Callithrix jacchus: one gene and its partners. The protein of the gene in region 1 interacts with the protein of each later gene in a pairwise test. Links are inferred from orthologs where the notes say so. Each region holds a gene or a part of one and is shown in the gene's direction. Other genes may lie near its edges.

What was found. The genes of interacting proteins can lie anywhere in the genome.
Region 2: the proteins of CCDC57 (region 1) and PRAM1 interact in binary tests that used the Homo sapiens proteins (3 or more experiments, as listed by UniProt). The two-hybrid records come from large-scale screens. The link is inferred for Callithrix jacchus from reciprocal best matches to the Homo sapiens genes CCDC57 and PRAM1.
Region 3: the proteins of CCDC57 (region 1) and TMEM100 interact in binary tests that used the Homo sapiens proteins (3 or more experiments, as listed by UniProt). The two-hybrid records come from large-scale screens. The link is inferred for Callithrix jacchus from reciprocal best matches to the Homo sapiens genes CCDC57 and TMEM100.
Region 4: the proteins of CCDC57 (region 1) and TSGA10IP interact in binary tests that used the Homo sapiens proteins (3 or more experiments, as listed by UniProt). The two-hybrid records come from large-scale screens. The link is inferred for Callithrix jacchus from reciprocal best matches to the Homo sapiens genes CCDC57 and TSGA10IP.
Region 5: the proteins of CCDC57 (region 1) and SFI1 interact in a two-hybrid assay, tested with the Homo sapiens proteins (2 studies listed by BioGRID). The two-hybrid records come from large-scale screens. The link is inferred for Callithrix jacchus from reciprocal best matches to the Homo sapiens genes CCDC57 and SFI1.

The regions. Positions count from the first base shown.
Region 1 is NC_133506.1:137,848,268-137,853,048, reverse strand, and holds the start of CCDC57 (coiled-coil domain-containing protein 57), read left to right. Parts: upstream 1-1,532; 5' UTR 1,533-1,577; intron 1,578-4,781. UniProt on the Homo sapiens protein: Pleiotropic regulator of centriole duplication, mitosis, and ciliogenesis. Critical interface between centrosome and microtubule-mediated cellular processes. Centriole duplication protein required for recruitment of CEP63, CEP152, and PLK4 to the centrosome.
Region 2 is NC_133523.1:8,023,300-8,027,943, reverse strand, and holds the start of PRAM1 (PML-RARA-regulated adapter molecule 1), read left to right. Parts: upstream 1-1,342; coding exon 1,343-1,930; intron 1,931-4,644. UniProt on the Homo sapiens protein: May be involved in myeloid differentiation. May be involved in integrin signaling in neutrophils. Binds to PtdIns(4)P.
Region 3 is NC_133506.1:110,543,567-110,548,314, forward strand, and holds the start of TMEM100 (transmembrane protein 100), read left to right. Parts: upstream 1-1,446; 5' UTR 1,447-1,473; intron 1,474-2,575; 5' UTR 2,576-2,667; intron 2,668-4,035; exon of another isoform or gene 4,036-4,165; 5' UTR 4,166-4,276; intron 4,277-4,748. UniProt on the Homo sapiens protein: Plays a role during embryonic arterial endothelium differentiation and vascular morphogenesis through the ACVRL1 receptor-dependent signaling pathway upon stimulation by bone morphogenetic proteins, such as GDF2/BMP9 and BMP10.
Region 4 is NC_133511.1:123,022,020-123,026,709, forward strand, and holds the start of TSGA10IP (testis-specific protein 10-interacting protein), read left to right. Parts: upstream 1-1,388; 5' UTR 1,389-1,399; coding exon 1,400-1,555; intron 1,556-2,593; coding exon 2,594-2,730; intron 2,731-2,822; coding exon 2,823-3,544; intron 3,545-3,709; coding exon 3,710-3,857; intron 3,858-4,690.
Region 5 is NC_133502.1:201,983,163-201,988,070, forward strand, and holds the start of SFI1 (protein SFI1 homolog), read left to right. Parts: upstream 1-1,606; 5' UTR 1,607-1,784; intron 1,785-4,908. UniProt on the Homo sapiens protein: Plays a role in the dynamic structure of centrosome-associated contractile fibers via its interaction with CETN2.

The DNA.
Region 1 (4,781 bases):
GCACGACCTGTTCCACACTAGCCTTGAGGGAGTATCCCCTGGTCCTGCCTGTGTTCATACTGGGATCCCTGGCAACACTGGCCCTGCCTCCAGGCCTTGACTTCTGGGAAGCGGCTACAGTAGCAGTGGCTTTGGGGCATGTCTGCCGCCGTCTGGCTCATGGTCCCACCTGGACAGTGCCAGTCTTGCTGGTCTCTTCCTGGAGGGTCATCCTGTCCAGAGGATCCTCCCTGCCCCCAGCCCTCAGCCAACACGGCCAGTACCCTGTTGCAGGGCAGCCCTAGCTTCTGGGGACAAGCTGTCTGGCACATGGAGTGCATGGCGGACGTCTCCCACTGAACTCCCATCCGTACCCTCCTTTCCCCAGGACCCAGGCCAGGAGTCACTGCCTACTCCCCTCCTCCTGGAACAACTGGACACGGGGCCCAGGAGCAGAGCATGCCCACAGGCACCAGCCCCTTTCATTTCTTGGCTCCTCTACTGCCGAAGAGCTTGGGAACCAGGCAGATGGAGAAGTTGCCTCTGCAAGCCTGACGCCGGCATTCCCCAAACCTGAGGGGAAGTGGCTTGCTCTGGCCCATCCAGGCGGGGTCCCCTCACACCTCTTGTCCTGGGTCCCTGGGTTTTTAGGACCCCGAAAGAGGCCTGGAGGCCTCAGGCAAACAGCTTTTGGGGGCTCCCATGGTGAGGTCAGCCACCAGCGCCCGAGTCCTAGGCTCCTCCAGCATTGTCCCGGGCGTGGGTGGGAGGAAGGCTGCAGGGTGCCTGGCTGCAGGCACAAAGAGGAGTGATCCCGGGTAACAACGCGGGTGGGGGATGACACCAGACCCCTGGCTGACTGCCCCACCAGGGGAACTCCCAGACCCCAGATACCCCGTCCACTCCACGCATTAGTGGTGGCTGAAGGTTCTGTGAACCAGGCTGCCCTGTCCCGGGCCGGCCTCAGTTCATCCCTCGCAGATGGATAAGAACATCTAGATGCCTTTTTTTGAGGAATGGTTGGGAATGGCTGAGCCTGAGGATACTGTTCCCACAGGACGGCGGGGGCGTCTCTGGGTCTCCTTCTGTCCCGACCCCCTCCTTTCCCCAGTTCCCTCATCGGGGTCTCCAAGCCCGTGGGCAGCCCCGGGAACTCGTGACATCCCGGTTCTGGGCGCGGCGCCCCCTGCCCCGAGGACGACGCCGGCCCGTGGAGGCCCCGCCCGCCCTCGTGCTCCCTGGTCCCGGGGCGAAGGCTCAGGTCAACCCTTCGGGAGCGGGCGCCTGGGGCCCTCAGCCTGGCCGGGGGCGGCGAAGGTGGGGGCGCCTCGCGCGGCTCAGCCCGGAGCCCCATCCGGGGTCGCTCCGCTGATCAGAGGCCGGGCTCACTCTTCGATCCGCGGCAGGCCTCGTGGCCTCTCTCGGGCTCGCGCAGCGCGAAACCTGGCGGCGCAGGAGGCGCCGGAACCCAGCGCCAGGGATCCCGTTTCCTGCCGGCGGGACCCGAGCGCTGCACCGAGCGCAGCCAGACACGGCCGACGGACGCGGTCGCTGTGGCAACGCGGCGGGACCGGGCAGTGCTGCGGAAGCGCGTTCCGGTGAGGCGCGGGCGGCTCGGGAGGCGCAGCTCAGACCACTTTTCTGTGGAAAATGCCGGGACTTGCATTTTCCACAGAGTAGGACGCAGCGCTCTGGTGGGGACCCCGAGCGCGAGGTCAACCCTCAGAGCCCGGCCGGGCCGGGACCGGAGAGCCCCTCGCGGAGGCTGCGGCGGGGCGGGCGCGTTTCCTCGGTCGCCCATGGGCGACCTGGGGCGGTGGGTGCTACCGACCGGGGCCACGGGAGAGTTCGCCGGTTCCGCCGTCGGCAAGGACGGCTCCGCTCCCAGTCAGCCTCACTGAGTATGAGTTAAAAAAATAAAATAGGCCGGGCGCGGTAGGTCGCGCCTATAACCCCAGCGCTTTGGGAGGTCGAGGCGGGCAGATTGCTTGAGGCCAGGAGTTCGAGACCATCTTGGCCAATATGGCAAAATGCCGTCTCTACTAAAACTACAAAAGCTGGGGGTAGTGGCACGCGCCCGCTGTTCCAGCTACTCGGGAGGCTGAGGCAGGAGAATCTCTTGAACCTGGGGGGTGGAGGCTGCAGTGAGCGGAGCGCGCGCCATTGCACTTCAGCCTGGGCGACGAGAGCGAAACTCCGTCTCAAAAAAAAAAACTTATATGCAATTTAGAAAAAGTATACAAAAGGAGTACAAAGATTTCCCCTGTGCCTTTTGCCCAGAGCCCCTAGGATGCTGACCTCTTACAGAACAGAACCACAGTTCATTCAGCAACATGCAGATGTTGGCGTTCATGTTAATATAATGCCACTATCTGCTCTCCAGGATTGTTGGAAATAGATGCTCGGTGCTGCAAAGAAAAATTAGCACTGAGACAAAAGATCATTCAGCAATGCAGTTTTTACTTCCTGGACTGCAGGAAGGGCACCCTCACTAACCATGTTGTCTGCAGAGTACAGTGAATAAAGGAATGCACACAAATGTATTCGTTACGCATTTGGGGTTGTCCTTACTCCTGTGTCTGATCTCCATTGGCTGGAGCCAGACCTCACGATCTAAACTAAAGCCCAATTGGCTAACAACTTAAAACTTTTCTAAACGGGTAAAAGCTGGGACATGCCTGTGAGCATCTCCAGCACAGATATCTTGGTTAAAGTACAGGGACATTGAATGTACTACATGCTTGTAAGCACGGCATGTCTAACAGCTACATGGGATAGGGCTTGACAAAGTTGTTGGCACACTTATTCTTTACCAAGACAGGAAATTTAAAAAGGAAATTTTTACTTCCCACAAGGATTTATTCTCACTTAGCAGCTAACTCATGGATGACTTTACTGTGGTCTAGGGTCCAATGATGAGTCTGCTGTTTTGTAAAATGCCCCCCGGTTTGGGTTTCTCTGATGTTTTCTCGTTATTGATTTTATATTATGCATTTTTGGCAAGAAAACTTCAAAAGGGCAATTGTGTCCTTCCCAGTGTCTCAGAAGACACAGGGTAGCCATGGCTGTTGGTGCTAGTCATGTCCCTGTGGCTGAGGTGATGTCTGCCGAGTGTATCCATAAAGTTAGGGTCCTTCCCTTTGTAAATAATAAGTATCTGTGGGGAAATATTTTGCGACTTTGTAAAGATCTTGTTTCTTTTTCTTTTCTTTTTCTTTTTTTTTTTTTTTTTGAGACAGAGTCTCTCTCAGTCACCAGGCTGGAGTTCAGTGTCTCAATCTTGGCTCACTGCAACCTCCATCTCCTGGGTTCAAGTGATTCTGCCTCAGCCTCCTGAGCAGGTGGGATTACTGGCGCCTGCCATCATACCCAGCTAATTTTTTTTTTCTGTATTTTTAGTAAAGACAGGGTTTCACCATGTTGGTCAGGCTAGTCTTGAACTGCTGACCTCAAGTGATCTGCCCGCCTCAGCCTCCCAAAGTGCTGGGATTACAGCCTGAGCCACAGGCCCTGCAAGATGATGTTTCCTAACCATACTCCTCTCACTAATTTTAGCACCGAGGAGTGTTTCCCGAAAATAACTATTAGTGTGCCATTTGTTAAATGATTTTTCTGTTTCCATTACTCCTACATTTATTAGTTAGGATTCTCCTGAGAAAGAACCAACTCTTCTCATCATTTTTCTATTCAGTTGTTAATTTTAGTTAGTATATCTTTTTTTTCTTTTTGAGATGGAATCTTGCTCTCTCTCCCAAGGCTGGAGTGCAGTGGCATGATCTTGGCTCACTGCAACCTCCACCTCCCGGGTCCAAGCAATTTTCCTGCCTCAGCCTCCTGAGTAGGCAGGATTACAGTCACCCACGACTGTGCCTGGCTAATTTTTGTGTTTTTAGTAGAGGTGGAATTTCATCATCTTGGCCAGGCTGGTCTTGAACTCCTGACCTTAAGTGATCCACCCACCTTGGCCTCCCACAGTGCTGGGAATTCAGGTGTGAGCCACCCTGCACGGCCTATTTTTGTTAGTATATCTTTTTATTCCATGGATTCTAATTCATTGCTATCATGTACATTGTCCAGATTGAGGTATTAGGAGCCCCTTCAAGTTGGCCTCTCTGTAGCCATCCCAACCTTCTGGAGCACTGTCTTTCTTTCTGGCACGAATTCAGACTCGTCTTGTGCTTGCCCTGACATATCCCAGAATCAGTCATTTCTCCAAGGAGCCCTGGTTCCTTTTAGTTTAGAAGGTGGTGTTGGCCAGGGAGGGTGGCTCATGCCTGTAATCCCAGCACTTTGGCAGGCTGAGGCGGGCGGATCACGAGATCAGGAGTTCAAGACCAGACTGGCCAACATGGTGAAACTTCATTTCTACTGAAAAATACAAAAATTAGCTGGGCATGGCAGCTCATGCCTGTAATCCCAGCTACTTGGGAGGCTGAAGTAGAAGAATTGCTTGAACTGGGACATGGGAGGTGGAGGTTGCAGTGAGCTGAGATCGAACCACTGCACTCCAGCCTGGGCTACAGAGCGAGACTCCATGTCAAAAAAGAAAAAAAAAAAAAGAACGTGGTGTTTAGAAATCAAGATCCCAGTGTCAGATGGATGCCATTTCTTCTGGGCTTTCTTAATGGATACAGCTAGGTTCTATACACTATACAAATATAAATCTATTTCAGTATAACTGTATCTGTGTTTGTATATATTAAACTGTGGCTGGGTACAGTGTTTCGTGCCTGTAATCACAGCCCTTTGGGAAGCTGAGGGGAGGAAATTGCTTGAGGTGAGGAGTTAGAAACCGGCCTGGC
Region 2 (4,644 bases), on another chromosome or scaffold:
TGTCTGCCCCACTGCCCACAGCCTCACCGGGGACCTGAAGACTGCCCTGTCCTTGATGGGGCTGCAGCCTCAGCTCACATGGCTTGGGTTGGGTGTCCACCCTCCCAGCACCCCTGGGCCCCAGCTGAGGTGGTTGTCACTCAGGATGGGGCGGGACATGCCATTGGGAGGCCCCAGTGCTCCAAGGCCACCTAAGCTCCCCCTTAGTCAGAAGCCTTGAAACTACAACTGTGGGACCCTGGAGAAGACTTGACCCCCCTGCCTTCCAATTCCCTCATCCTTAAGGGTGTCATGATGACGAGTGAGCCCTTTGGTGTGGATAGGAGGATGAAAAGCTGACCTTGGGGAGAGGCTTGGGAAATGTCTGCTGAGTACTTCGCATTCCTCTGGTCACCGAGCCCATGGCTGCCTGGGACCCTCTCTACCTGGGGAGGAGGATAGGACTGAGTCAAGGGCCCCCCCCCCTTTTTTTTTTCTTTTTTAGTAGACCGGATCTCACTCTTGCCCAGGCAGGGCTCACTACAACCTCCACCTTCCTGGTTCAAGCGATTATCCTTAGCCTCCCAAGTAGCTGGGACTACAGGCACCCACCACCACTCCTGGCTAATTTTTGTAAATTTAGTAGAGACGGGGTTTCACCATGTTGGCCAGGCTGGTCTCGAACTCCTGACCTTGCGATTCACCCACCTCGGTCTCCCAAAGTTCTAGGATTACAGGCATGAGCCACCATGCCTGGCCCAAAGGGCCCATTTTACTGGTAGAGAAAGTAAGGCTAGGAGGTTCCTAGCCAGCCCCAGTTCCAAGTCAGAGGCACTGATTCTGCACAATCTTGGGAGAAGGGCACAGTTACCATGGGATGAAAAAACCCTGGCAGCAGGTCCAGAGGACACTCCCCTGTTCCCATGCTCTGAAGTTCCCTAGATCTGGCTGTAGTGCAAGCCCCCTCTCCATCTCCAGGGACAGCACTGTGTTCTCTGTCCCCCAGGCCCCTAACCCCTGTCAGGGGCCTGGGGGCCCCCAGGAGTCTTCATTCCCCATCAATTTCCTCATTCGGCCACCCCCAGAACTAAGCCATGCTACTTCCCAGTCTCTGTCACCATCTGTCCAGAGAGATCCAGAGTCAACAAGCACCTCGGTCCAGGGACCTCTCCTCGACCCCATCACCCACGGAGATTGGGCAGCCCTTCCTGTGTGTACAGCGGGTCCACGGCCACCACTCTGCCCTCTGGGGTAAACTGACTCTGCCCCAAGGCCTGGGAAACTAGGTCACCACCTGGCATCTGCCATTCACCTTGTCCACTCCAGAAACTATCTCCCACCCTCAAGCCGGTCCCCAACCCCTATGCGCTGGAGGCCAGTCCTATTGGGCCCCGGCTCCGCCCAGCAAGGGGCGCCCAGGAGAGCCGGGAGTGCAGCGCCGATCGTGGTCCGGTTGGCAGGAAGCCGCCAGCTGGCGCCAAACAGCTCTGAGGCCGGCCAGAGTCCTGTGCACCGCCCGGCATTTGTCCAGCCCCAGCTGTCACCTGCAGGTGCTAGTCCACTCTCGCTCACCGCGGACCGGGAGCCGGAAGATGGAGCACACCCCGCGGCCCTGGCATCCGCCGCCCACGTGCTCCCATCCGCCACCTTGAGCACCCATGTTCCCATTCCCAACCCCGCAAAGTGCCCGAGCCGCGCCCTAACGAACTCCCACTTCCCCCTGGTCCGCGCTGGCTTCTCCGGGATTCCGGAGCTGTCGGTCCCTGTCTGCAGCCGCGCCGCGAGGACCCTTGCCAGGAGCTCCCACGGAGGCGCCAAATACGCAAGCAAGACTGGGGGGAACTCATACCATGACGACCACGCCGGGACCTGCACGTCACCCCCACAGCGCCCCCGCGGGGTCTTGGTGCGAGCGCCCTGGCTGGACCCTCGTAGCTACCAGAGTGCACGGGTAGCGACCGGCGCAGGCACCTGGGGATTCATCAGCTGTCATCCAATCCTTCAATTACCTTGACTGAGCGTCTACTGTATACTCATAGCCAAGAATTGCTTGTTTTTCTTTTCATTATTATTATTTAAAAAAAAAATTTTTTTTTAAGATGGGGTTTCACCATATTGGTCAGGCTGATCTCGAACTCCTGACCTCAGGTAATCCACCCACCTCAGCCTCCCAAAGTGCTGGGATTACAGGCGTGAGCCACTGCGCCCGGCTTTTTTTTTTTTTTTTTTTTAGACGGTGTCTGGCTGTGTCACTCAGGCTGGAGTGCAATGGTGCAATCTCTGCTCACAGCAACCTCCGCCTCCCCGGTTCAAGCGGTTCTCCTGCTTCCCCCTCCCAAGTAGCTGGGATTACAGGCGCACACCATCACGCCCAGTTAATTTTTGTATTTTTAGTAGAGACGAGGTTTCACCATGTCGGCCAGCTGGTAGCAAACTCGTGACCTCAAGTGATCCGCCCGCCTTGGCCTCCCAAAGTGCTGGGATTACAGGCATGAGCCACCATGTTCCCCCTGGCTGACCTTTCTTGAATTTATTTAACTAAATGAGAAGGACCCAGATGGAGCTGGGAGGGAGACTCATTTGTTTTGAGGACTTTGCTCTTCCGCAGGCCCTTCCTGCATCTGCTCTGCTGCAGTGGGATACATGACACGATGAGAAGTGCTCTGCCCATTTGTTTTCAAGCCTCCGTTAAGAGCACAGGCGTCAGGATTCTGCCAAGATGGCGCCATTGCATTCCATCCTGGTGACAGAGCGAGACTCCATCTCAAAGAAAAAGAAAACGACCAGGCTGGGTGACTGGGTGCAGTGGCTCGTTCCTGTAATTCCAGCACTTTGGGAGGCCAAGGCTGTGGATCACCTGATGTCAGGAGTTCAAGACCAGCCTGACCAATATGGTGAAACCCCATCTCTACTAAAAATACAAAAATTGGCTGGGCGTGGTGGCAGGTGCCTGTAATCCCAGCTACTCAAGAGGTTGAGGCAGAAGAATCGTTTGAACCCGGGAGGTGGAGGTTGCAGTGAGCGAAGATTGCACCACTGCAATCCAGCCTGGGTGACAGAGCAAGACTCTATCAAAAAAGAAGAGAGAAAGAAAGGGAGGGAGAGGAGAGGGGAGGAGAAGAGAGGAGAGGAGGAGAAGAGAAGGAAAGGAAAGAAAGCAAGTTCAACCACTTCGTTTCCGAGTCTTTTTTTTTTTTTTTTTTTTAAGAGACAGGGTCTCATTCTGTTGTCCAAGCTGGAGGGCAGTTGTCACAATCATACACTCACTGCAGCGTTCTAATTCCCAGGCTCAATTGATCCTACTACCTCAGCCTCCCTAGTAGCTGGGACTACAGGCACACACCATCCCACCCAGCTCGTGTGTGTGTGTGTGTGTGTGTGTGTGCTAGAAACAGAAGCTCACTATGTTGCCCAGGCTGGTCTGGAATTCCTGGGCTCAAGCGATCACCCATCTTGGCCTCCCAAAATGCCAGGATTACAGTTGTGAGCCACCTTGCCCAGCCTTCTCTTCATTATTCCTGCTCCAAGTGTGGTCCACAGAAGGACAGCATTGGCATCACCTGGGACCTGACTCATCACTTGGGTCAGAACCTGCACATTAACAGCAGCTCGGAGTGACTCAGGGGAACCGGGGATTCTCACCTTAGCTGTGTATGAGAATCACCAGCCTTTTTTTTTTTTTTTTGAGACGGAGTTTCACTCTTGTTACCCAGGCTGGAGTGCAATGGTGCAATCTCGCCTCACCGCAACCTCCGCCTCCTGGGTTCAGGCAATTCTCCTGCCTCAGCCTCCCTAGTAGCTGGGATTACAGGCACATGCAGCCATGCCTAGCTAAGTTTTTGTATTTTTAGTAGAGACGGGGTTTCACCATGTTGACCAGGATGGTCTCAATCTCTTGACCTCATGATCCACCCGCCTTGGCCTCCCAAAGTGCTGGGATTACAGGCTTGAGCCATCGCGCCCGGCCCGCCTTTTTTTTTTTTTTTTTTTTTTTTTTTTAGATGGAGTCTCTCTGTCACCAGATCGGAGTGCAGTGGCGCGATCTCGGATCACTGCAACCTCTGCCTCCCGGGTTCAGCCGATTCTCCTGCCTCAGCCTCCGGAGTAGCTGGGATTACAGGCACCCAGCATCACGCCTGGCTAAATTCTACATTTTTAGTGGAGACGTGGTTTCACCATGTTGGCCAGGCTGATCTCAACCTTCTGGCCTCAAGGGATCTGCCCACCTCGACCTCCCAAAGTGTTAGGATGACAGGCTTGAGCCACTGCGCCCGGCCTTCCATCTCTTTTCTGATTCTTCCTTAGCTCCAAAATTTCTAGGGTTCGGCTGCATTCACTCCTCTGTAGTCGACAGACACCCACTGGGACAACTCCCAAATTCATCATTCCAGTCCAAACCCTAGGGCCCAGTGCCTTCCCGGCGTCTACCACAAGGGGGCGACACACAACTCCCGCGTTCATCATTCCAGTCCAAACCCTAGGGCCCGGTGCCTTCCCGGCGTCTACCACAAGGGGGCGACACACAACTCCCAAATTCATTCCAGTCCAAACCCCAGGGTCCAGTGCCTTCCCGGTCTCTACCACCAGGGGCACAACTCCCAAATTGACAGAATGTGTGTGATTTGGGGGATGCTGTGCCTGATTTGGGGGATGTAGATCATTGAT
Region 3 (4,748 bases), about 27 Mb from region 1:
TATAAAAGAAAGTGTCAGCCCAATTGGAGATAACTCTCGAACTTTGGGTTTTCTCATCTTTGGCCTCCAAAGAATAATATACATAAATATAAAACTCTATGGAAAATGTATGGCATTGTATCAGAATGACAGGAGTTTCAGTGCATATTCTGATTTTGAGACAAGAAAATCAATTCTGCTCATCTGAGGCCAGAATGACAATTAGTTCTTGTTGAAGTGAGAGATTACTTACTCAGCTCTTTTTTTTTATGTTTATGTGAAATTTCAGTCACTCAGAACAAAATGGGGCAAGAGAATGGGATTGTAATGTGCTTCTAAAAGATATATGTTTCCATTTCTATATTCACATGGATCTTATGAGATTCTCATACTTATAAATTGACCACCAATTAGTAAAATAAATATTTATATCTAAGGCCCATTCATTGTACTTCTTGGTACTATCAGAATTCTCTATTTAATATCCTAGACCTCAAAGAAAAGTGCTTTGGAGGAGCAAAAAAGGAAAGGGGGAATAACAACATGACCTGTTATCCAAAATGAACACATAAGCACAGATCACTTTTCAAAATGTCCATGATTTCAGAACATAAATTCAGACACACCCTTCAAAGAAGCTTTAGAGAGGAGAAAACCTGGCCAGCTTCCCAAATCTCACTGCATCCAATTGGACTGGGTGATGACCAAGATCAAAGGCATGTGGTGATTGGACAGAGGGCCAGGAGGAACTGGCATCCTCAAGGCTGCTGGAAATTAGCCAGCTCAAACATACCAAGCACAAGCAATTGAAAATAAAGACAGGCCAGTAATCGAATACACATGGGGCTACACTTCATGAAATGCAAACTTGACGTGTTCACGAAGGAGACGTTTCCAGGTCTTCAACAGCATATACTCAATAGGAAAATCAAAACATCCCCTTTTGCAACCTGGAGCCTGAGTCTTTGGCTCCCACTTTAGGGAAATGGGCAAAATGACCTCTTTGTCATAGTACCCATCATGCTCCCTGCCCTCCTCCACTTCCAGACCCCTCTCCCCTAAGTAACTTTGTCTCTCCAACACACTTTCCAACCCCATACTCCCTTAGAAACATAGAGCAAAGATGACAAATTCTTTTCTGTAGGTTCTGATTCACAAAGGGAGAGCATTAGAATGGGGGCTTTGGATAGAAAAACCCTTGAAAATAAGTGCCTGAATAAAGATATAAAAAGAGAAAAGTAAAGGAAGATTTTTTTTTCAAACTTGATGCCCTTTAAATATGTATATATGGATTACATTTTCGTGGAGGAAAACAGTAAAATCCAGCAGCATTTAAGGGATTTCCTCTCACCAAATTGTCTCCGGTCCCTTAATTTTGTTTAAGCCTTGCTGAGTACTTTGTTCACGGTCCCTAGTGTGGTGATTTGCATCCCCCTATCTGTGTTGCTGTTTGCAGGGCAGGCAGCTGTCTCAGTCTAACTCTAGCTGGGAAAGGTAAGGATCTTTGTTTTGCTGTTTGAAAGATCTGGGAAGGAAATGTCTAATGCTTAGGTGGGTTAGGGGCATAGATAGAATTCATTCATTGGAGGCTTTAAGAAAAGTTCTCCAAACTTAAAGGAGTCTCCTAAAGCCATGTGCTTTAGAAAGAACTAGAGAGATTTCCTCTTCCTTGTGAAAAGAGAGGGCTTGCAGAAATAAGGCTGGTTGCATTGTGGATGAAATTTTGCATTTGGGGGCAGGTGTCCCTGAAGGGATCCACAGGGGTGTTTCATACATTATAGACAAAGAGTGGAAGGAGGAATAAACATTCAGAGGCAACACGAGATCATGAGGAATTCTCCTTGAATTTCAATTTGAAGAGGTAAAGTCAGTTAAAGCTGCTTGTGTCCATGGTTAGGATAACCACTTTATGCCAAAGCTTTCTACTTCTTTAAATTTAACGTACAAATCATCAGTTCGCTACTCAGAGTCTAGAGATGTGTATCTGCGTATCAAGGCAGGTGCATATACCCTGGAGCACTGGGGTGAATGAGGCACCTGAGCCTGACAAGGCTGAAAAAAGCTTTGGTACTGGAAGTGACTACAGACCAGCCCATGCTCCCAGGGCAAAGATGCACTCCCTGTGCCTCATTATAGACTCAGCAAAGGGCTCACCATGGGAAAAGGTGTCATTGTCCTCTCTCTAGAAGGTCAATTTGTGCACCTGTAGCCTTGGTAACAGGAAAGCATGCTTTTCAACAAAATAAGGTGATATTCAGAGCTTTGGTGCAGTTATTGGGCTATCTTGGGAGGGAAGTAGTACTGGAAAGTAGAGGGGAATTGTGGATAAGAAGACAGCTCTTTTAAGGAGCTTCTCAAGAACCTCCATCTCACCATCTTCCCGGGACAACTTTGGCAAAAAAAGTATTCCTGACCCTCAACACCAAGTTACAGTGCTCCTCACGGATGAAGGCTGTCTCTTTAGGTCTGACATTCTTAAAAGTGTTAGGATCATGGTGACCAAGGCCTTCCAGGTACTTGCCATGACTCCCCCAAGTCTCAGAGACTTTTCAACTTTATGTTTTATAATGACATAACCCTCTGGCTTTCATTCTAGAATAAACAACTCTGGTCCCTCTCCTTTTGTGACAAGTCATCTGGTATTGCTACAAAGCAAGGCTGCGGAGAGTGTGCTGTGCTAGAGGAGAGGTAAGATGTTTGAGAGCATCCAAGCCCTTTGCCAGCAATTAGAAAAATATAACAATTTGTTTTTCTTCTAACAAAGAAGGAAAACAAATCTCTTCCAACAGTTAATTTGGATTTGTGGTTCACAGTATTAATTCGAAGGGGTTATTAACACTTGTGCAGATGAAAAATGAGAATGAAAAACTTTTCATTACAAAGTGTAGGATGAGCTCCCAGTATTACCTTTTCTTCTCAAAAAGACAATCTAGAGCTTTACATATTTCAAGTTTTGAAAAATTGCACAGATTGTCTGTAAGAAAGCATAAACCTATAAAGCCACTTTATAGGTATATGGGGGTGGGAAATAGATGTCTACCTTCATTGTTTGAGTGTATGAGGTGTCAAGTTGTACACGTTTGAATGTTTAAAATACCATGTTCCTTAAAGTGGGCCAAGGAACAGAGATCTCAACTTAGGTAGGGAGCTTGTCACAGACCTACTGAATCAGAATCTGAATTTAGCAATCTCCCCAAGTGGTATATGTAACCATTAAAGATTAAGGTTCAAACCAGGGGTTTCTCTGTTACTGTGTGACCCTTGTCAAACCACTTAACCTCTCTGAGCCTGTTTCCTCATTTATGAACTAGTGAAAATTAATGTTAACGTGTGACATGTCTTAATATTGTGCCATCTCCAGAGTAGGTGCTCTGTAAATGGTAGCAATTATCATGATGGTGATAATCTTAGTACTGATAAAGTTACTGCCTTGGAAAAGCAATAAACAATCATGTTTAAATCAACATGACTGGTTTTTCCCCTTAACCGCAAACATTTTTGCCTCCTACCCTCATTCCTAAATGAATTAACACTGAACAAGTGAGGATTTAACCTTCAGTTGATTATCACGTGCATATAAATAAAGAATAATGGGAAAACCTAGGAACATGGATTTTTGCTGTCTTAGAGACTGAATTCAGCTGCCTGATGAGTTCACAGCTGTTTCTGCTGTCCTGGAGAGTCTGTCCCCTTTGCTCTGTCCCCTCAGCCACGTCTGCAACACTGACTCTGGGATTTTCTTATAAAAATATCTGATGGACTGATGGACGGGAGGAAGATCTGGAGGGCGGCAGGGGAAAAAATGAGTCATTCAAATTCACAAAGCAGACCGCTTAGTAAATACTGCAAGAGAAATAAAAGTAAAAGCTGGCCTTTTTACTTTTTTCTCTGGGGAACCTGTAGAAATGATTTGGAGTTATCATGTCACTGAGTAAAGTTGGGGGAAGCCAAAACTCAGAATCTGCTGGCAAGGAAAAGAACTAAGGAAAAAAAAAGTTAGGGAGGGGCAAACCGGAGGGGGAGGGAATAAAAAGACAGAGGGAGGGAAAGACAAGCGTCATTTAGGAACAGAGGTAGCCTGAAGAAGCAGGAACTCCAGGATCCCAAAAAAAGACCATATAGTAAAGTATTTTCACATCTTTTCTTTTCCCCAGAAGAGACCCCTAACCTGTCATTTTATTGACAGCCGAGCTGTTAGAGGCTCTTTCCCAGAAGTTGGACAAAGAGGCTCAAGCGTTGCTGTTTCTTCCCTTCCAAGTCAAGTTGTTTCTTTGGTAATGGATTGCCTCTCTCGGAGGTGAGTATAAGTAATTTGGGGACAGATATTGATTTTCAGGTTAGCCCAATCTCAGCTTTGGGGTGAAGATAAGTTTTCCAGACATAATCTCAAATATCTTTTAACTGGCCTCGCCAGTAATTAGGGTGTCATTGGACAACAGTGATTAATTAGTTTAGTAATTAAAAATGACATGTGAGTAGGCAGCTGTAATATTTAGTTTCACTGCTCAGGGAGTGATATTTTGACTTTCCAGGGTAGGGAAGAACTATTTGATTTGGAGTTGAACGTGTTTTCGGTGGATGCTTAATATATTCAAAGTAGTAATCTCATTGAAATGGTCTCAAGTATCTTTCTAAACTTGTTCAGTAACTACAACTGCTCAACTGTGTAGCAGCTAGACAGCTTTTTGAAAATGGAAGACAGTGACTTAACATGTCTGAGCAGCAGACAAGTTTTCACTGATTTCTCACAGACAGCATTTCAACCAGAT
Region 4 (4,690 bases), on another chromosome or scaffold:
CCTATGAGCTAGGGCCATGATTCCAGTTTTGCAGAGTGGGGAACCCGTCACAGAGCTAGTGAGAGGCCACACCAGGCCTCCAGTCCGGCTGGTCCATCTCTAGGACCTCAGCTCAGCACCATGTCCTCGTACTGCAGGCCTCAGCGGTCAGCACCAGGCATCCCATGGGGACTTAAGATTCCAAGGCATTTTAGCACTGCTTAGAAGTTTGGGGTAAGATCTTTTCATCCTTTTAAATTTTTATTTGATTTTTGAGATGGAGTCTCACTCTTTCGCCCAGGCTGGAGTGCAATGGTGCAGTCTCAGCTCACTGCAACCTCCACCTCCTGGGTTTAAGTGATTCTCGTGCCTCAGCCTCCCAAGTAGCTGGGATTACAGGCACCTGCCACTATGCCCAGCTAATTTTTGTGTTTTTAGTAGAGATGGGGTTTCACCATGTTGGCCAGGCTGGTCTTGACCTCAGGTGATCCTCTGCCTCAGCCTCCCAAAGTGCTGGGATTACAGGCAAGAGCCACTGTGCCCGGCCTCAGGTGAGATTTAAATGTTGTAACTCCTTCCAGAACCTCATGGCCTATGAATATGCCCTGTCTCCTGGACACAACCTTCAACTTCCTGACTGGGGCTGGGAGTGCAAGGATTTGTTTATTTTTTCTTGAAACAGAGTCTTCCTCTGTTGCCCTGGCTGGAGTGCAGTGACACAATCTGGGCTTGCTGCAGCCTCTGCCTCCCAGGTTCAAGCGATTCTCGTGCCTCAGCCTTCCAAGTAGCTGGGGTTACAGGCCCGAGACACTGGGCCTGGCTAATTTGTTTTGCATTTTTGTCAAAGATGGTATTTCACCATTTTGGCCAGGCTGGTCTTGAACTCCTGGCCTCAGGTGATTCACCCGCCTCAACCCTGCAAAATGCTGGGATTACAGGCCTCAGTAACCGCACCCAGCCTGGGAGTGCGAGGATTTAAATAAAATCTTGTGAAAGTCCAGTTTGGTTCCTTCGGGGCCCCAGCTGGGTCTGGGGGCAGCGCAGGAGACAGGCTGATGGAGAGGGCCTGCCTCAGGCACCGCCTGGGCATCTTCACGGGTGTGAGGACTCTGTGAGATGGCCGAGTCCTGAGGTCCCCTGTACAGACAGATGGGGAAACACAGGTGAAGTGGGGACAGGGACTTACATCAGGTCACACGGGGAGCCAGTGGCTGAGGCAGGAGCAGAGGCAGGACCTGGCCCTGGGTCTCTGCGCTGAACCATTCCTGGGCATCCTGCTGAATTTGCCCCCAGAAGGAAATGGGCCTCACATACCCCACTGCCGCCTCCTAGCATACTTTTGTCCTGACCCCTTGAGACTGGCTGAGGACTGGTTGCCATAGAGATGGCCTGTTGGGCAGTTCCACAGCGGGGGTGGGGGATGGGGCAGGATGGGGAGGACACCGATATGCTAAATACCCACCAACAGTTGGTTAGGGCCCCGTTGGGGCGACCAGGGCAGGACACACAGCTTCAGGCTCCGGGGAGCAGCTCTAGGCTGCTCAAGCTGCTGTTGACCATCTCTCGGGACAAGCAGGTGAGGGAGGCCCAGTGGGGGCATTTCCAGGAGGGCCGCGTTGGGTCAGGGAGGCCTGGGCTGGGGAGGCTCTTGAGAAACCATGATACCTGAGCTGAGGTCCAGTGAAAGTCAGGGGGCAGGACCGGGACAGGGACCACAGGGAGCCCTAAAGGCCTTGGGGGAAGCTGAGGGATGATGGGGCAATTTAGGGAACACTGCGGGAGGAACAGGGTTTCAAGAAAGATGAAGACCACCTTGATGAAGACCACCTTGGTTTCCGCCTTGGCTGTAGCAGGTCCAGGGCCCAATGGGACATTTGGGAGTGCAGTCCAGGGCCCAGAGGCGGCCTGGTGCAAAGGTGACGAATCTGGGCTCCACCACTTTCCAGCTGTGTGACCTCAGTTACTCAGCCTCTCTGAGCCTCAGCTTTCTCCTCCGCATGAGAGGAGTGATCTCCTCCGCATGATGGGGCCTCCTAGGGTCCTTGGGAAGGTAATGTGTGTTCATGTATGAAAGTCCTGAGCACATAGTAGGTGCTCAGCAGATGGCGGCTGTTGCTATTTTAATATGCAGAATGGAGGTGTTCAGTCGAGTTCTTTTGTTTTGTTTTGTTTTTTTTGAGATGGTGTTTTGCCCTTGTTGCTCAGGCTGGAGTGCAATGGCGCAACCTCGGCTCCCTGCAGCCTCTGCCTCCCGGGGTTCAAGCGATTCTCCTGCCTCAGCCTCCCAAGTAGCTGAGATTACAGGCACAGGCCACCACATCCGGCTAATTTTTTTTTTTTTGTATTTTTAGTAGAGATGGGGTTTCACCATGTTGGCCAGGCTGATCTCGAACTCCTGGCCTCAGATGATCTGCCCACCTCCGCCTTTCAAAGTGCTGGGATTACAGGCATGAGCCCCGCGCTCGGCTGTGTTCCATTGGTTTTAATGGTAACAAGGGCCCAGAGGGGTCCAGTCAGGCCCAGCCAGGTGCACAGAAGAGGAGGGCACCCAGGCAAGGTGCAACACAGTCCAGAAGGCTGCTCCGAGCTAACCTCCCCTACTGTCTGTGCCCAGGGCCACCTGGGGAGTGGTGACGGTGTGCCAAATCAGGACCTGCAACGGAGGTCTCAGAGCTCAAGGCAGACAGCAAAGAAGGACCGCAAGCCCAGGGGTCAGAGCAAGAAAGGACAGGGTTCTGAAGAGGCTGAGGCGTAAGGAGCAGTAGGATGGGTCAGGTGGGTGCTGGGGTCAGGCCCTTCTGGGGGCTGGTGTGGAACCTGACCCCCACCCTCTCCTTCTTCAGTCTCTTCACCCCTTCTGCTCGGAAGCCCTCCTTCCCCTTCCAGTGGGCCTGGGAAAGCATTGCCACAGATGTCCGGGATGCACTTCAGCCAAGCTCCCCAGCCTCTAGCCACCAAGTCCTGCCCCTGCCCTCCTCACTCTCCCAGCCTCAGTTCAGGCGCAAGTCCACAGGCAGCCTCCCAGAGAACCCTGGCTGCTGCCAGAAGACAGAGACACGAAACCTAAAGGTGAGACAGCGGCTGAGAGCCTGGGGCGGTGTCTCCATCCTTCCTGGCAAAGGAGGACAAGGACCAGAGCCCCACTGTGAGTGTGACCTCCAGCTGCCTGGGAGGAGGCCAGGATCAGGATCGGTGTCCGACGAGCAGGTCCAGCTGCCAGGCCCGGGTGCTGAGAAAGCCGAGAAGGGTCTGAGTTCTGTGGAGCTGCCCCAGCGCCCCAGAAGGGAGCCGATCTCAGAGGAGGAGCAATTCTCAGATGCCACAGAGGAGGCTGAGGAGGGGGAGCACAGGGCTACCCACAGAAGGAGGGCTGGTTCTCAGAAAAAGGGGCAGATTTCTGGAGAGGAGGCTTCAGATGAGGGGGAACAGGGCCAGAGCCAGGGGAGCACCCCCAGCTACAACAACCTCCAAAGGCCACGGAGGAGGAAGACAAGGGCCAAGGAGCTACAGGAGCCGTGGGACCTGGAGAAGCTGCACAGTCAGCTCCAGAGAGACCTGGATTGTGGTGAGCACGCGGCTCAGAGCCTGGGTTCCCCGAAGCAACACCACTGGGAGAGCACTCAGGGAGGCAGGAGCTCAGGCAGGCTAGGCTGTGCCCTGGGTGCTGGGGGGATTGCCTGGTGGGCTGGGAGAGAGAGGGCAGTCCCTGACTTGATCTCACTGTGGACAGGTCCCCAAAAGCAGCACTGGAGGGCTCGGAGAGATGCCTTCCAGGCCTCCAAACGTCATGGGAAGGGCTATGCCTTGGGAGGCGATGAAACCTTCCTGTCTGCCAACCTGTCTAACCGCACCTTCCACAAACGACAGGAAGCCACCAGGTAAGAGGGTAGAGAAGGGAGTGGGAGGCAAGAGTGAGAAGTAGAGATGGAGCCAGTTCTCTAAGACGTGCTGAGGCATTTGAACTCTCATTCATTTCTTTGTTTATCCATTCGCCAAACTTTTGGATTCTCCATCCATTCATCCACTCATCCATCCCTCCATCCACCCAACCATCCATCCACCCATCCACCCATCCATCCATCATCCATCCATCCAAACATCATCCATCCAAACATCCATCCATCCATCCATCCATCCATCCGCCCATCCATACATCCATCCACCCATCCACCCCACCATCCATCCATCCATCCACCCACCCACCCACTCATCCATCCATTCATCTAAACACCATCCATCCATTCATCCACCCTCTCACTCATCCATCCATCCACCCACCCACCCACTCATCCATCCATTCATCCAAACATCATCCATCCATTCATCCACCCTCTCACTCATCCATCCATCCGCCCACCCACCCATCCACCCACCCACCCATCCATCCATCCACCCACCCACCCACTCATCCATCCATTCATCCAAACATCATCCATCCATTCACCCACCCTCTCACTCATCCATCCATCTGCCCACCCACCCATCCACCCACCCACCCATCCATCCATCCACCCACCCACCCACTCACCCATCCATTCATCCATCCATCCATCCATCCATCCAGCTACTGAAAACATCCACTCAACCGTGTATCCATCTCTCTGAATACCTGGCCAATTATTTATTGACACAGTCACTTTTATTACCCATCTTTTCTTCTATCCATCCATTAATCTATTAACTAAGTGATTAATGCAACATTTATTATCTA
Region 5 (4,908 bases), on another chromosome or scaffold:
TTATGTTTTAATTGAGGCCAGGAGTGGTGGCTCATGGCTGAGGGATTACAGGGAGGCTGAGGCAGGTGGATCACTTGAGGTCAGGAGTTGGAGACACACCTGGCCAACATGGTGAAACCCGTCTCTCCCCCCAAAAAAATATATACAAAAATTAGCCTGGGTGGTTGAAGCAGGAGAATTGCTTGAACCCAGGAGGTGGAGGTGGCAGTGAACTGAGATTGCACCACTGCACTACAGCCTAGACGACAGGAGAATCCATCTCAAAAAATAAATAAATGAAAAATGTTTTAATTGCAAAAATTAGCATGTAGAAAATAGGGCAAAAATACAAATTATCCGTGATTCTAATCCCAAGACACCCAACAATTTTCCTCATGTTTTTAGCATAAAGTCAAGTATTTAAATGACTATTGCTAGCTTTTAGTCTCTGCACCAGGAATCTCACATGCTTTCAAATGTTTTACAAAACACAGTAAAAAAGTATTTCAGCTTTTCGATCTGCCATCTGCGGTGGAGCCACCACCCACATGCAGATTTTCGTGAAAACCCTTAGGGGGAAGACCATCACTCGAGGTCGAACCCTCGGATAAGAGAAAATGTAAAGGCCATGATCCAGGATAAGGAATTCCTCCTGATCAGCAAAGACTGATCTTTGCTGGCAAGCAACTGGAAGATGGATGTATTTTGACTACAACATTCAAAAGGAGTCTACTCTTCCTCTTGTGTTGAGACTTCGTGGTGGTGCTAAGAAAAGGAAGAAGTCTTACACCACTTCCAAGAAGAATAAGCACAAGAGAAAGAAGGTTAAGCTGGCTGTCCTGAAATACTATAAGGTGGATGAGAATGGCAAAATTAGTCGCCTTGGTTGAGAGTGCCCTTCTGATGAATGTGGTGCTGGAGTGTTTATGGCAAGCCACTTTGACAGACATTGTTGTGGCAAATGTTGTCTGACATACTGCTTCAACAAACCGGAAGACAAAACTCTTAAGTTCATAAAAGACATGAACTTAAAAAAGTATTGCAAAACGTCCCACTTACCCCTCTCACTCCTATTTTTAAGATTATTAGGATTGGCCCAAGTTGAAAAATTTCACAAAAAGGAGCGTTTATTAATTACATTGTAGAAGGAAGAGTTACAAAAAGAGATAAGCCTGGGATTTATAATTCGGGGGCCATGGGACCTCTCCCCTCCAAGTCCACGTTGTAGCAACCGGCCAGGTCCACGCATGGGCGGGTCCTAATCCACGGTTCCGGCTTGCACTCCCCGCGAACTAACAGCCCGAGAGGCTCACGCACGAGCCCGGAAGTGAGGGAAGGGGGACTTTTGTCCACAGCCGCCTCCCAGCTGGAACCTTATCCTCAGTGCTTGGCCGCTGGCGGCGAAAGTCGGGGTTCCGCCTCGGAACACCTCCCACTCCTCTCGTCTAAGAGGAGCAGTAGCAAGCTGAGCTCACAGCAAAGCCAGCGAGCCAAGAAGGGAAAGAGCTCTTAGTGGGGCTGGTCGGAATCCACTCGCCTCGTGGCCTCTGGAAAGCGGCCGGAGGGAGGTGCGCCACCTGCCCGACTGAGGCTGCGCAAACCCCGGGGTCTGGGCGGTGTGGTCCTCGTGCGCGCTGCGTCACCGCCGTGGAGAAAGGGACGGGCCCGTCGCGAGACCCGCGTCTGGAGGCGTGCGAATCCTTGAGGCAGGCGTGGGTCGCGCGGGAGTAAGGAAGCGGGTCCCGGACCGCCGGCTCCTGCCGGGACTTCTTCCAGCGTAAGGCCGGAGGGCTCGGCTTCCTCAGGTATGAGACCTGGCCCAAACGTCCCCAACCTCTCAGGGGCTCGGCCTCTCCGCCTGTGAGCCCGGCACGGAGCTCTGTCGCGTTTCTCCGAGCTGGGCCAGGTGAAATCTATCGGAGCCCTCCTTCCACCCCTCGAAGTGCAGGTGATGCTGCCTATCTGCGGGTCTATGGTGTGGGAATGGAGGAAGCGCGACAGTAGAGCACAGGATGGGGCCGGGAGCCCGCCATCCTCTCTCGCCGTGTCTTCTAAACTTGTCCTCCGCCCCGGGGCACCGCATCCTTCCAGGCTTCTAGTGCGCTCCTGGCCGGTGCTCCTTAGCGTGCAGGGATCCAAATCAGGGGTTTCGTCTTCCCGGCTGTGTGGCCCGGGAGCGGAAGGGCTAGTGTATAGGCGACCTTGCCCCACTGAACGCGCGGGGACTAACGCAGTAAACAAACCTTCAAGTCTTCTCCGAGTGGGAGGCCGTTCAGATTTAACTACAGTGTCGTAAGTATTTGTTGAATGATATGAAGGACTTGAGTAGAGCCATACCTCACTATATTGCACTTCACGGATATTGTAGTTTTTACAAAATAAAAGTTTGTAGCAAGCAGCCCTGCACCAAGCAACTATTTTTCCAAGCATGTGCGCTCTTCCTGTATTTAAAACTTCTTATTTTAGGTATATCGTTACAATGATCTGTGATCTTTGATGCTATTATTGAATTGTTTTGGGTCGCCACGAACCGCACCGGTGTAAGACAGCAAACTAAAGTGTTCTGTCTGACTGCTCCACCTACCAGCCAGTTTTGTTTCTCTCCTCCCTCTCTGCCCTCCCTGTAGCCTGAGAGGCAACAATATTGAAATTAGACCAATTAATAGCCCCACAGTGGCTCCTAAATGTTCAAGTGAAAGGAAGAGTCCCATGTCTCTCACTTTATATCAAAAGCTGGAAATGACTAAGCTTAGTGAAGATACATCAAAAGCTGAAAACCTGAAAGCTAGACCTCTTGTTCGGAACAGCCAGGTTGTGTGAATACAAAGAAAAAGTTGTTGAAGGAAATTAAAAGTGGTACTCCAGGGAACACACCGGTGATTTAAAAAAAAAAAAAAAGGTTAAACAGCCAGCCAGGTGCGGTGGCTCAGTAGAGAGAGAGGGGAGGAAGGAGGGCTCCAACAGATTTCACCTGGGTGTAATCCCAGCACTTTGGGAAGCCGAGGTGTGTGGATCACCTGAGGTCGGGAGTTTGAAACCAGCCTGGCCAACATGGTGGAATCCCATCTCTACTAAAAATACAAAAAATTAGCCAGGCATGGTGGCACATGCCTGTAATCCCAGCTATCGGGAGACTGAGGTAGGAGAATTGCTTGAACCTGGGAGGTGGAGGTTGCAGTGAGCTGAGATCTGGCCGTTGCATTCTAGCCTGGATAATAAGAGTGAAACTCCGTCTTAAAAAAAAAAAAAAAAAGAAAAGAAAACTAAACAGCGTTATTGCTGATGTGGAGAAAGTTTTAGTGGTCTGAATTGAAGATCAAACCACCCGCAACATTTTCTTAAACTGAAACTTAATCTCAAGCAAGTCCCTAATTCTCTTCAATTCTATGAGGGCTAGGAGAGATGAGGAAGCTGCAGAAGAAAAGTTGGAAGCTGGCCAGGGGCAGAGGCCTGTAATCCCAGCACTTTAGGAGGCTGAGGTGGGCGGATCACCAGCCTGGCCAACAGGGTGAAATCCCGTCTCTACCAAAAATACAAAAATTAGCCGGGAGTGGTAGTGTATGCCTATAGTCCCAGCTACCCAAAAGGAGAATCACTTGAGCCTAGGAGGTGGAGGTTGTGGTGAGCCAACATGCTCCACTGCCCTCTAGTCTGGGTGACAGTAAGACTCTTGTCTCAACAACAATTAAAAAAAAAGAAAAGAAAAGTTGGAAGCTAGCAAGGGTTTGTTTTTGTTTGTTTGTTTTGAGACGGAGTTTTGTTCTTGTTAACCAGGCTGGAGTGCAATGGCGAGATCTCGGCTCACCACAACCTCTGCCTCCTGGGTTCAGGCAATTCTCCTGCCTCAGCCTCCTGAGTAGCTGGGATTACAGGCACGTGCCACCATGCCCAGCTAATTTTTTGTATTTTTAGTAGAGACAGGGTTTCACCATGTTGACCAGGATGGCCTCGATCTCTTGACCTCCTGATCCATCTGCCTCCGCCTCCCAAAGTGCTGGGATTACAGGCTTGAGCCACCGCACCGGGCCAGTTTTTGTTTCGTTTTGCGTTTTTTAAAGATGGGTTTCACCATGTTGTTCAGGCTGGTCTTGAACTCCTGACCTCAGGTGATCCGCCCACCTCAGCCTCCAAAGTGCTTGGATTACAGGTGTGAGCCACCACACCTGGCCGATTGTTTTTTTTTTTTTTTTTTTGAGATTTTTCACTCGACGCCTGGGCTGGAGTGCAGTGGCGCAGTCTCGGCTCACTGCAATCTCCATCTCCTGGGTTCTAGTGATCTTCCTGCCTCAGCCTGCTGAGTAGCTGGGATTATAGGTGCCAACCACCACACTTAGCTAATTTTTTTATTTTTAGTAGAGAGAGGGTTTTACCATGTTGTCCAGGCTGGTCTTGAATTCCTGACCTCATGTGATCTACCCACCACAGCCTCCCAAAGTGCTGGGATTACAGGCCTGAGCCACTGCTCCCGGCCTTGTTTTTTTTTTTTTTTTTTTTTTGTGTGTGTGTGTGTGTGTGTGTGTGTGTGAGATAGGGTTTTGTTCTGTTTTCCAGGCTGGAGTGCAGTAGTGATCATGGCTCATTGCAGCCTTGAACGTGTAGGCGCTAGTGATCCTCCTGCCTTAGCCTCCTGAGTACCTGGGTGTGTGATACCATGCATGGCTAATTTTTTTTTTTTTGAGATGAAGGTCTTGCTAGTTACCCAGGCTGGTCTTGAACTCCTGACCTCAAGCAATCCTCTTGCCTTGGCTTCCCAAAGTGCTGGGATTACAGGCATCAGCTATAGCACCTGGCTGAGGTTTGAGGAAAGAAGCCATCTCCATAACATCAAAGTGCAAGGAATAGCAGCAAGTATCCAGAAGATCTAGCTAAGATTTTTGATGAAGGTGTCTCCATGGAACAACTGATTTTCAGTGTGGATGGAAACAGCCT